Linked DNA regions of Arabidopsis thaliana. The protein of the gene in region 2 interacts with the protein of the main gene of each other region in a biochemical or structural test. Each region holds a gene or a part of one and is shown on either strand. Other genes may lie near its edges.

Region 1 (6,683 bases), on a different chromosome or scaffold from region 2:
GCTGCGAGTCGCATTTCTTTAGTTCAATTTGTTTTCTTTCCTGAAATATAATTCGGACTGTAGAACTTTGATAAGCCTTATTATTATCTGAGCCCATTTATCGTTTCTCATTAATGGGCCTCTAATGGAAGAGTTGGACCCATCTTATCCGTAGTTATTTACCATGGAATAAAAAATGAAACTGTAAGTAATCAATAATTAAATAAATATAAGAAAATTTGGAATTTTACATCACCGGAAAGTAAATATTTTACCTTTTAATGGCTGGTCCTAAATGCCAATCCTGATATGACAGAGGAAGATTCGAGTAAAAATTGAATGTGGAAATAAATACTAACTGTAGAAAACAAACAAAGGGTAAATTCTTCATATAGATGGAAAGCGAAGAACAGTAAATGTGAATTCGCTACGGTCCGGCTCACACTGCCCAAAAAATTCCTCGAAAGCTCTTAAAAACAGTAGTAAATTTGACCCTATATTTTTAGAATACATTAAAAAGTAAAAAAGGCCTCTTTGTTAAATTGCAAATAGAAACAAATAGTAAATTCCAAAATTTCCATGAAGGGTTGTTTTCCTTCCATGGGGAAAAGAGTTATTTTTCATTGTTTATTTCATAATAAATAACTTTTACTGTCAAAAGGAATATAAAATTTTAAAACATAGGTATGGGAGAGAGACCGAAGTCTGATAAAATGTCTTGACTCGGACCAAATCTCAAACGAGAAAGACAACAATTAAAAAAATTCCAAGAGCATGCTTAACGGATTATAATATTTTTTTCAACATCATTTGTTCTATTATCTGTTTTTTTTAATGTTTTATTTTATGGCAATAAGTGTTTGACACTTAGTTATTCAACCGCATTTCAATCTGTAGGAAAAGTTTACATAATGTATGATTCCTTGCACAAACAGAAGATCCAAAATTTACATCTGTAGCTCCTCCAAGTCAACCAAAATCCTTAGGTTTGTGATCCAATTTCAAAACCCCATAATTTTTCAAGAAAATTTGTAAACCCATAATTAATAAGTTTGATGCATTGACTACTGACCAGGACATTGTACATAAATGAACAATAACATTATGGTTGCAATTATTAATGATCTCTAAGCACCACAAAATATTTTTTCCAGGACACCATCATCATTCCTCACCAACTTACTTTAATGTTCTTACTTCAAAAAACAAAATAGAGAATCAAAATAAAAAAATGAAAAACCAAAACTATGGTGACCACTTTAACCACTGTCTCTTTCTGCATAATTTTTTACCCAAAATACCAATTCTCTGCATGAGAATAACAGAACCAACCACATTCCACATTATTTCCATTTTATGTGAAAGATTATTTTCTAATTAGTTGAATCATACCAAGAGGCCACAGAGCAGCATGTAAACCCATTAAAGAAAGTTTCTATTATTTGGGAAGGATAATTTAGTCATATTCAAATTTATAGTTTCTTTCTTTATGAGTTGGCCAATCATTTATTCATTTTCCCACTTACTATACCAACACAAAATAAAAATAAAAGCCACGTGTCAGCCAAGTCGGATTCGTCAAACCCAACAAAATAAATACACGTGTCAATTAAAGAGTTTTAATGAGTCCACCCACCTTCCTCGGGCCCCACACTCTCTTCTTTCCAGCCCGTTGATAAAGGCAGCTTTTAATTACTCTCTCTGCTCTCTTTTTTTTTCTTTATTGGCTTTTTTCTCTTCTTCCCAAATTCACTCTTCTTTTAAAGCTACAAAACCTAACAAAGTTGAAGAAGAAGAAGAAGCTCGTGCTCTCTCACTTTCTTTTCCTACGGTGTTTTTTTTCCCCCTGAGCTGCAACATTCTTCGTCGGAAATCTTCCCGGAGAAAATTCTTACTAGGTGAGAATTCCTCATTTCCAGATCGTAACTGTCCAATGACTCCTTTACTTAAAAAAACTCAAGTTATTTTGCTCAACATTTACTTCAGCCATTCACTTGAAGGTTGAATATTTCTTCAATTTCTATGAATTTCAAGTAAACTGTAGCTACTTCTATTCATATAACTAGCCTTTGTTTTACCGGATTTTTCTTCATTGTTTTTTGCTTTGTTTTGCTTCCTCCGTTGGCCGAAATGTAGCCGTTGAGATAGATTTTTGTTCTTTTCTTCTACTAAATCTAACGCCTAAGAATACGAACAAACAAAGTTTTTGTTTTGAGATGTACTGTTTTTTTTTTTCTCTTGTGTTCACCAATTTTCTTCTTTCTAATTTCAGCTCTACATAACTGAAAATGGAGGTCTTCCGCAACTAAAATCTGTTCAACGGAGAAGAGGGTTGTGGAAAGATGTACAAAGCACTGATTTTTACAGTCTTGTTGGTGTCGGCAGTAGCTCCGGTGAGATCTCTAGACCCGCCTTTAAACGACGACGTTTTAGGGCTCATTGTCTTCAAAGCCGATTTACGAGATCCAGAGCAAAAGCTAGCTTCTTGGAACGAAGATGACTACACTCCTTGTAGTTGGAACGGAGTCAAATGCCATCCGAGGACGAATCGAGTCACTGAGTTAAATCTAGATGGCTTCTCTCTGTCTGGTCGAATTGGTCGTGGCCTACTTCAGCTTCAGTTTCTTCATAAGCTCTCTCTGTCCAACAACAATCTCACGGGAATCATTAACCCTAATATGCTGCTGAGCCTTGTTAACCTTAAGGTTGTTGACTTGAGTAGCAATGGCTTGTCTGGTTCGCTTCCTGATGAGTTTTTCAGGCAATGTGGGTCATTAAGAGTTTTATCTCTGGCGAAGAACAAACTAACGGGGAAGATTCCGGTTAGTATAAGCTCGTGCTCGTCTCTTGCTGCTTTAAACTTGTCTTCCAATGGTTTTTCTGGTTCTATGCCTTTGGGGATTTGGTCTTTGAACACTCTAAGATCACTTGATTTGTCGAGGAATGAGTTAGAGGGAGAGTTTCCAGAGAAGATAGATAGATTGAACAACTTGCGTGCGCTTGATTTGAGTAGAAACCGGTTATCTGGTCCTATTCCTAGCGAAATTGGGAGCTGTATGCTGCTGAAGACTATTGATCTTAGTGAAAACTCTCTATCAGGAAGCTTACCAAATACATTTCAGCAGCTCAGTTTGTGTTATTCTCTGAACTTGGGAAAGAATGCGTTAGAAGGTGAAGTTCCAAAGTGGATAGGAGAAATGAGGAGTCTTGAGACTTTGGATCTTTCCATGAATAAGTTTTCAGGGCAGGTTCCAGACTCCATAGGCAACCTTCTAGCACTGAAAGTTCTCAACTTTTCTGGGAATGGGCTTATTGGTAGCTTGCCGGTCTCAACAGCCAACTGTATCAACCTCTTGGCCTTAGATTTAAGTGGGAATTCACTAACTGGAAAGCTTCCCATGTGGCTATTTCAAGATGGTTCTCGTGATGTGTCTGCATTAAAGAATGATAACTCTACTGGAGGTATCAAGAAGATCCAGGTTTTGGATCTCTCCCACAATGCATTCTCTGGCGAGATTGGAGCTGGTCTAGGAGATCTTAGAGACCTGGAGGGATTGCATCTGTCCAGAAACTCTCTTACCGGCCCCATCCCCAGTACCATTGGGGAACTAAAGCACTTGAGCGTCCTTGATGTGAGTCACAATCAGCTCAATGGAATGATTCCTCGAGAAACAGGTGGAGCTGTTTCTTTGGAGGAGTTGAGACTTGAAAATAACTTGTTGGAGGGAAATATTCCATCTTCCATCAAGAATTGCAGTTCCCTTCGGTCTTTGTAAGTCTCTTTTGCTTTAGGTTGCATTCTGTTAAGATTTTCCCATTGAAGATTATGTCTTAACTGTGTTCTGTTTCATGCTTCTTTCTACAGGATCCTGTCACATAACAAGCTGCTAGGCTCAATTCCACCAGAGCTCGCTAAACTTACAAGACTCGAAGAAGTCGACTTATCATTTAATGAACTGGCCGGAACACTTCCTAAACAGTTGGCTAATCTCGGCTATCTTCACACATTCAACATATCTCATAACCATCTCTTTGGGGAACTACCTGCAGGTGGAATCTTCAACGGTTTATCCCCAAGTTCAGTATCAGGAAACCCGGGAATTTGCGGTGCTGTTGTCAATAAGTCTTGTCCTGCCATCTCCCCTAAACCGATTGTGTTGAATCCTAATGCAACTTTCGATCCTTACAATGGTGAAATAGTGCCTCCAGGTGCTGGTCACAAAAGGATACTGCTTAGTATATCTTCTTTGATAGCCATTAGTGCTGCTGCAGCCATTGTGGTTGGTGTAATAGCCATCACGGTACTTAATCTGAGAGTGCGCGCATCAACGGTTTCAAGATCAGCAGTACCGCTCACGTTCTCAGGCGGAGATGACTTCAGTCGATCTCCCACTACTGATAGCAACTCAGGGAAGCTGGTGATGTTCTCTGGTGAACCTGATTTCAGCACTGGAACACATGCTCTGCTTAACAAAGACTGTGAGCTTGGTCGAGGTGGATTTGGAGCGGTGTACAGAACAGTTATCAGAGATGGGTATCCTGTAGCTATCAAGAAGCTCACTGTCTCGAGTCTTGTCAAGTCTCAGGACGAATTCGAAAGAGAGGTGAAGAAACTTGGAAAACTCAGGCATTCGAATCTGGTTAAACTCGAAGGATATTACTGGACAACTTCTCTCCAGCTTCTGATCTATGAGTTTCTCTCTGGTGGGAGTTTATACAAACAGTTGCACGAAGCACCAGGAGGTAATAGTTCGCTTTCTTGGAATGATCGGTTCAACATTATCCTTGGTACAGCGAAATGCTTAGCTTACTTGCACCAATCAAACATCATCCACTACAACATCAAATCGAGCAACGTGTTGCTAGACAGCTCTGGTGAGCCTAAAGTAGGAGACTACGGATTAGCGAGGCTGTTACCTATGCTAGATAGGTACGTGCTGAGTAGCAAGATACAGAGTGCGTTGGGATACATGGCTCCAGAGTTTGCTTGTAGAACGGTGAAAATAACAGAGAAATGTGATGTTTATGGATTTGGAGTCTTGGTCCTTGAAGTGGTTACAGGTAAAAAGCCTGTGGAGTATATGGAAGATGATGTTGTGGTTTTGTGTGATATGGTGAGAGAAGCTCTTGAAGATGGAAGAGCAGATGAATGTATTGACCCAAGGCTGCAAGGGAAGTTTCCGGTAGAAGAAGCGGTTGCAGTGATAAAGCTAGGGCTTATTTGCACTTCTCAGGTTCCATCAAGTAGACCACATATGGGAGAAGCTGTTAACATATTGAGGATGATCAGATGCCCTTCAGGGAGCTCAGATGAGTTGGGTTCAAGTTGAAAAGAAGGTTAAAGACTAACATGTTTTTTCACCAAGTTCCGGCGAAGAGGAATCCGGTTTGTTCATTTGGGGGTTTTAAGAGAAATCCTTGTTTGTGTTTGTTTTTTGATAATCTCTTATGTGTTATCTTTTGTGTCTGTTAGTTTCAATTTCAATGTTTGTAGCTTCTTCTATTTATTGTTCTTGTAACATTTTTAGGGCTGTATCGGATTTGTCTTCACCGGGTTCCATAATATGGGACTCTTTCGATGAAATCTTAAGTATTATTATGAAAGAAAGCCTGTAGTCTTCATTTCAGGTTCTGAACCATCTTTTAGCAGTCGTAGAAGATAAGAGCTTTCTTGTGAGACAAATAAAAACTTAGGGTTGAGAAAAACAAGAATCAAGATAAAACTTAGTGACTTCGTGTGATGATGCTCTCTGAACAAAGAGAGTATAAAATAACTTAAGAAGCTTCATTTGTTGTAACCATGTGCATGGGACTCTGTGAAAACTCAACAATTTAATGGGTCTGATCTTTTATTGGATTATGGGAATCGAAGAAACGTCTCAAGAATCTGTAATTAAAATACATTATTCATTAGTATCTTTTTGAGGGATAATATAAGTACATTTTTAACAGAAGAACCCTAGTTTCAATGGCCGATAAAAGAGGAATGGAGCATGCCTTGTCTGAAACAGACCACGTTTTTCTCTCTTGGAGTTGGGAAAGACGAAATTAGTACTACAATCTACGTTGTCTAGCCTCGGTAATTTGCAACATTTTGACATTTTAACTCATAAGTTAAAAATCCATTTCAATATTGTACATGATAGCATTAAAGTGAGATGGCATCTAACGTTTTGACTTTCTAAGCCAAATATGCTAACACTTTTTTTTTCCATTTGAAATGGAACCTGAAAAAATAAGTTACTTAAGGGACATTTTCCATTTATAATTTTTTTCTTTTTCCATATACAGCTTATTATTATATTACCGATCAATTCTTCGGTTTATAACTAGGTTGGAGAAAAAAATAATTCATCTTTCTATACACATTTTTTCATGTCATTAATATATACAGCTTATTAATATATGAGTTAATTCCTCTAGGTTAGCTTATACAGTATATATGTCATTTTCATTTATTGGATTATTTCCAAAAAAATCCCAAAAAGGAACCTTGTATAAACCAAAAAAATAAAAAAATAAGATTGTGAAATGTTAAAAAAAAAATATATATAATGGTGATCATAATTAAGCCATAACTTAAGAGTCTTAGATGGTGATGCCAATAATTTAGAGGTGGTTGATTAAGTGTAATCATTCACTTCCGTAAGTCCGATCGTGAAATGTCTTGTGCTGCTAAATGTGTATCGCTTGTCAAAGTCATA
Region 2 (5,927 bases):
AAAATTCAGACGTTAAAAAAAAAAAAAAAAAATCGACTAAAAGACAAAAGTAAGAAATGAGGTAAATGTGAGATTCCAACACTAGAGTACTTTCACGTATACAATTATGTACACTATCTTACCTAAAGGATATTTTGTGAAAAATGGACCGAGAACTTACTTATACTACAGAGGCAAACACATGCTTTATTTGCTTGCCCTCAAGACGGGCTCTGTAAGACTATAACTACCAATCAAAATGCAAACTACTTTGATAGAATTACTAAAACTAACCCATCGTCAGTTTGCACCAATAAGCATTCATAAATACTTACCAATAAAGTTTCTATCTTTTGTCCAAAAGAAAAAGTTTCTATATATCTAGGTTTTGAAAAAACCTATCCTCGAAACTATAATGCTTCAATAGATCTTTAATAGCATGTATGGCCCGGTAGATAGAACAATGATGTAAAAGCCCATAGTATAATAGGTCTATACTAGTGCTGGATCTCAATGGAAGTGAAACAGGTGATTCTTAAGTAGAGATTATACAAATCTTTTTCAGTAATCGTATATTTAAAAAATTATTTTGGTTTAAACGTGCTTAACACCTGAAACAACCCAATTATGTGTTGGAAATATAGTAGCTATATCAATTCTTATAAATTTTTGTACTTGTAACATCATCTATAAGAATCTAGAATACTATGGATAAGAAGTCAAAACCCAACTGATTACATTTTGAGACTGTTGAAAGAAATATGTTTAAAAACGATCAACCTTATAGAAATGGTAACAAAGAAGTGTAGTAAAAAACAAATGCCCGGTTCATTCGCAAGAAAAGGCAAAAAGGCTATAAGGCATTACATACTTTAACGCATGTGGAAGTTTTTTTTCAAAACGCTTTATTAGGTTTAGGCTATTTGTACTTTATATATGGGTTTGGTGGGTTTGGTTTTGAAAGTTAAGCACAATTACTTAACAATGATTTTCTCATCATTAAATAAATAAAACAGTGTAATCCTTTTTTCTTAGTTTCTTGACTTCTTCTTCTCTTGCTGATGTAAACAACTCGACTTTACAACATTATTGTAAAACAACTCTTAAGACATGGTCAGTCCCACACGGAATTCTATCTTCTACTAAACAAAATTCATTTTGTCAGAAAGTCATCCTAGCTTTTTTTAACTAAGGTATGGCCTATTTCTTTTTGTAATTTACCCATTCTTCTAAGATATATATGACCTACTAATATTATCAAATTGATGTTGACTTGAATATACACCATAATCATTTAATTTTGCTTGAGGTCTCTAAGTGGTTGCTATAGATTTTGAAACAGTTGAGTTGATCCTTGTTATATTTTCCAATGACATGTGTGTTACACTGTTACTATTGAAAGACATTTTAATCATTTATATAAAATTCATTTTAGACTATGACTTTTCTTTTGTCAACAAACTACAGTATATGATTCTTTGAAGTATACAGATTTTGAAAATCTTTATAATATACAAATTTACAATGTATAACGGGATAGCATTTCTCTTTGTTTTTGTGTTCCTACATAATAATATCAATGCTGACTTGTATATATTTATCATAAATAGATATTATCCCTAGTTTTAGTTTTTCCTATTTTCTTAGTATAATAATCTTTGATTTTCTAGAGCTTTTAAATGAATAACACATATCTCTTTAGTAATAGAATTCCCTAGAACAAACCACATACTCTTGTTTTTCTTTTAATAATAGATGTTTGGATGGAAAAAAATCCAGTAATCTATATCCAACAATTGTCTTACCCATTTATCCGAAAGATACAACAAAGCTTATAGAAAATCATGTCTCAGATAAACATTTTGATTTACAATTAATAACATCATAAAACAGTGGAAATGTGTTTAGCAGTAGATAAGATAACAATTATGTAAAAAAACTGGAATTAGCTTTTGTAAACTGTTCAATAATTCTGATATGTTACCATATTAACCAAAAAACAAAATGAGAAAAGTGAGAAAAAAAATGAAAAGAAACAAAAAAGGAGGGTATTATCGTAAACATAAAAAATGGTCTCTGCCCTTCACATGCGTTCTTTCTATCAGTCCTTTTAAGAGAAGGGAGACAGAACATTCTTTGGATTTTCTATCTCTCTCTCTCTCTCTCTCTCTCTCTTCTTCACACACACAGAGACATCATCCTCTTCACACCCTTTTCTTTTGCACAATCGCATTCACTATCTCTTCTCTCTCTTTTGTGTCACATCCTTCTCTTCTCTTCTAAGTTCTAATCTTGTACTATCTTGTTCTACCATGGCTTCTTCTGAAACAAGAATGAACAAGGCAAGAGAAAAAGAAGAAGCCATAGCAAATGGAGTGAAGTTGAGAGCACTTCAAGCGAGTCTTATGCAGATGAAGTCAAGCCCATCTTCCAATTACAGTCTCAGAAACCCTTCTTCCTCTTCTGCTGCTTCACCTGCTTCTCGTCCTCTCCCTAACCTCTCTGCTCATGATTACCCTGTTTTCACTCCTGTAACTCTCTCTCTCTCTCTCTCTCTCTCTCTCTCTCTCTCTCTCTCTCTCTCTCTCTCTCTCTCTCTCTCTCTCTCTTTTCTCTTTTCCCACTTATCATTCTTCTTGGTTCCATGAGTTTGTTCTCTTTTTCTTGTGTCTCACTTGATTGATTTTTCGACATTATGTATGGGAATTTGGGTTTTGTTCAAACGCTTTTGGAGTTTTTAAAACTTTTTTTTATAATTTCACCAAACCCGAGATTTATTTGGTTAAACCCGGTTCAGGCTCGTTAATTATTGTCATTGCAGTATTCAATTTAGATAATACGTTTCTTAATTTATTGTACCATGTAGTTGTGTGTTTTGGATCTTCAAAAATGGTTCATTAATTCGAAAAGAATGTCAAAAATACATTATAGTATAGTAATAATTTGGTTAGTCCCTTTAATAATTTAACCACTGTTGAGTGTTAAAAGTATTAAGACAAACAGAAAAAGACCTGAATTCGGTAGAACCACTTTGTCTTTAGCAGACCACTGTTCTGAATTTGGACAAAAGTTACTGTGCTTTTTAACTTACAACACACATTTCTCTGCTAACTTTGTCTGTTGGTGTCTTGGAACAGAGCTATGAAGATGAGCCTGTGTCTGCATTTCATCACAAGAATCTCACTTTATCTGAGACTTGGGATGAAGATGGTGTTGGTTTAGTAGATGGAGATACTTATCTCTCTGATTCTTACAAAACCTCAACTTCAAGAAAGACTGTGATGATGCCTCATCAAGATTCTCATCATCATGTTTACACTATGTCGGACGCTCTCAGATCTCCACCGTTACATTTTTATACAACCGGTAGAAGCAACTGTGGCTCGGTCGACTTTAGATCGGTCTCTTCTTGCAATGACTACAATAAACAAAAAGGTTTCGACACGAAGAGCTTGAAGAGCTCTAATCTTGTTGTGCCCTTGACGGATTCGCACTCTGCTGTTGTTTCTTCTCAGCCAAGAAACCGTGGAGGTAGAGTAATGTCTTGGTTATTCCCTAAGTTAAAGAAGAAACAAAAGAGTAATTCGATCTTTAATTCACCTAGTATAACTGAGAAGTCAGAGGAAGTTTCTGAGGTGTTGAAGGATTCTGGTTCTGGTGTTGAGAAGTTGAAGAGAGAATTGATGGAAGCAAACAGAAGTAGGGATGCTGCGTTAACACAAGTCTCAGAGATGAAATCTTCATTGGGAGAGTTAAGTGAGAAGCTTCAGTACTTGGAAAGTTACTGTGACAATTTAAAGAAAGCTTTGAGAGAAGCAACAGAAGTAGTGTCACAGGAGAATAGTGGTGGAAGAAGCTCAGGGAAAAAGAACTCAGAGATGCCAGTGAGTGAAGAAGTGATGGTTGAAGGGTTCTTGCAGATTGTATCAGAAGCAAGATTATCGATAAAGCAGTTCTTGAAAACATTAGTTTCAGAGATTGATGAAGAAGACTCGACTCTAATTGGTAACATCAACACTCTCCTTCAACCTCACAACTTATCATTCACTTCTAAGTACTCCAAGATCATTCAGTACCACTTAGAAGCAATCATAAGCCAATCAGTATACCAAGACTTTGAGAACTGCGTATTCCAGAAGAACGGTAAGCCGAAACTGCTTGATCCGGAACAAGATCGACAAGCGAACTTCTCGTCCTTTGCTTCCTTGAGAAACTTGAGCTGGAACGAGGTATTGAAAAAGGGTACAAAATACTACAGTGATGAGTTCAGTAGATTCTGCGATGAGAAGATGAGTTTGATCATTACAACATTGAATTGGACAAGACCTTGGTCAGAACAAATGCTTCAAGCATTCTTTGTGGCTGCAAAATGTGTATGGTTGCTTCATTTGCTTGCCTTCTCGTTCAATCCAGCGTTAGGGATATTGAGAGTTGAGGAGAACAGAGAGTTTGAATCAAGTTTTATGGAAGATATGGGTGCAGATAGGCAGAGATCAGCATTGTCCCGTGGACCGGCACGGGTTAAGGTTATGGTAATGCCTGGGTTTTATGTTTTAGATAGGGTTTTGAGATGTAAGGTTCTTTGCAGGTACAAGTCATTGGGCTGAACTGAAGAGAGTCACACTCACTCTAGTCTAATCAAAATTGATTGGTTCTTAATTAACTTTTCTTATTGTTAATCTCTTGTGTTTCTTCTACCTAGGCTTTTTTTTACTGGTCTTTTTACACTTTGTTAAGAATTATTATAGGTTTTTAAATATTGTCAAATACTACTTGTCAAGGAGATTTTGTATTTTTACATTTTTGTATTGATGGAAAAGTATTGAATATGCACATTTGTGATTTATTTATTTATTTGCCGGCAGCACATTTGTGATTTAGATAATCAAAAATGTACATAGGCTAATAAGAACGCAAATATTAAATGTGGGCCGTAACAAATATTAGATTGTAAGATAGGCCCATTCACTTTTTTTGTTGCTTCCATATATTGTGTGTCAGGCCCAAGAGAATTTATATTAGGGGACCTCTTTTCTTCTATAGTAATAGGACGATGTCCCATACGCATTTTAGCTGCAGCTGCATCTAGCTATTGGTAATGGTATGTACATAAGTTCTTGAACTGTTCGGCGTTTATATAAGCTCAGTTCAATGAGTTGCTATTTTTTTCAAGATAGAAAATAATAATAATATATATATTAAAGAGTTTACATTTTGCTGTTTCTACTATAAATTTGATACAAATGCAATGAATATACTCTTATAAGTAGATTCATGAATACATGCCTAACTTTGTGGAAAATCATCACGTTTTTCACAATATGGACGAATGAGGAAAAAAAATTAGAGAGCAACAAAAAAAGGCCAAGGTCACACACCAATAATAATATTTCATGGAAAAAGTAAAAAAGAATTGACGAATGAGAGGAAACGAAAAGTGATTTTACCAATAGCCCCTTCCCTTTTAAAGTGATAAATAAATGTAGTCAATCTTGAAACTCTGTTTAAGTCTTTATTGTCAGACCAAAAACACACATTTTCTCTTGTCTAAATCTGAACCGTTATCGATACGGCAAAAATACAACCCCAAATCTATCCATCTCTCTCTCTATCTATCTTTTTTTTCCTCGGCAATGGCGGAAGCTAAACCCAGAAATCTGAGAATCGTGATGTTCCCTTTCATGGGACAAGGCCATATCATCCCGTTTGTAGCTTTAGCCCTTCGTTTAGAGAAGATTATGATTATGAACAGAGCCAACAAAACCACCATCTCTATGATCAATACTCCTTCGAACATCCCCAAAATACGCTCCAATCTTCCACCTGAATCCTCCATAAGTCTCATAGAGTTACCTTTCAACAGCTCTGATCATGGCCTTCCTCACGACGGCGAGAATTTCGATTCTCTTCCTTACTCTCTCGTCATCAGCCTTCTTGAAGCTTCTAGG

What was found.
Region 1: the proteins of AT5G12900 (region 2) and AT3G56370 form a complex in vitro, tested with the Arabidopsis thaliana proteins (one study listed by BioGRID).

Annotation. Positions count from the first base shown.
Region 1 is NC_003074.8:20,898,029-20,904,711, reverse strand, and holds AT3G56370 (Leucine-rich repeat protein kinase family protein), read left to right. Parts: upstream 1-1,631; 5' UTR 1,632-1,877; intron 1,878-2,251; 5' UTR 2,252-2,321; coding exon 2,322-3,751; intron 3,752-3,844; coding exon 3,845-5,309; 3' UTR 5,310-5,613; downstream 5,614-6,683.
Region 2 is NC_003076.8:4,070,810-4,076,736, reverse strand, and holds AT5G12900 (DNA double-strand break repair RAD50 ATPase), read left to right. Parts: upstream 1-2,117; 5' UTR 2,118-2,291; coding exon 2,292-2,510; intron 2,511-3,116; coding exon 3,117-4,586; 3' UTR 4,587-4,841; downstream 4,842-5,927. Other genes in the region: AT5G12890 (UDP-Glycosyltransferase superfamily protein), read left to right, coding at 5,613-5,927.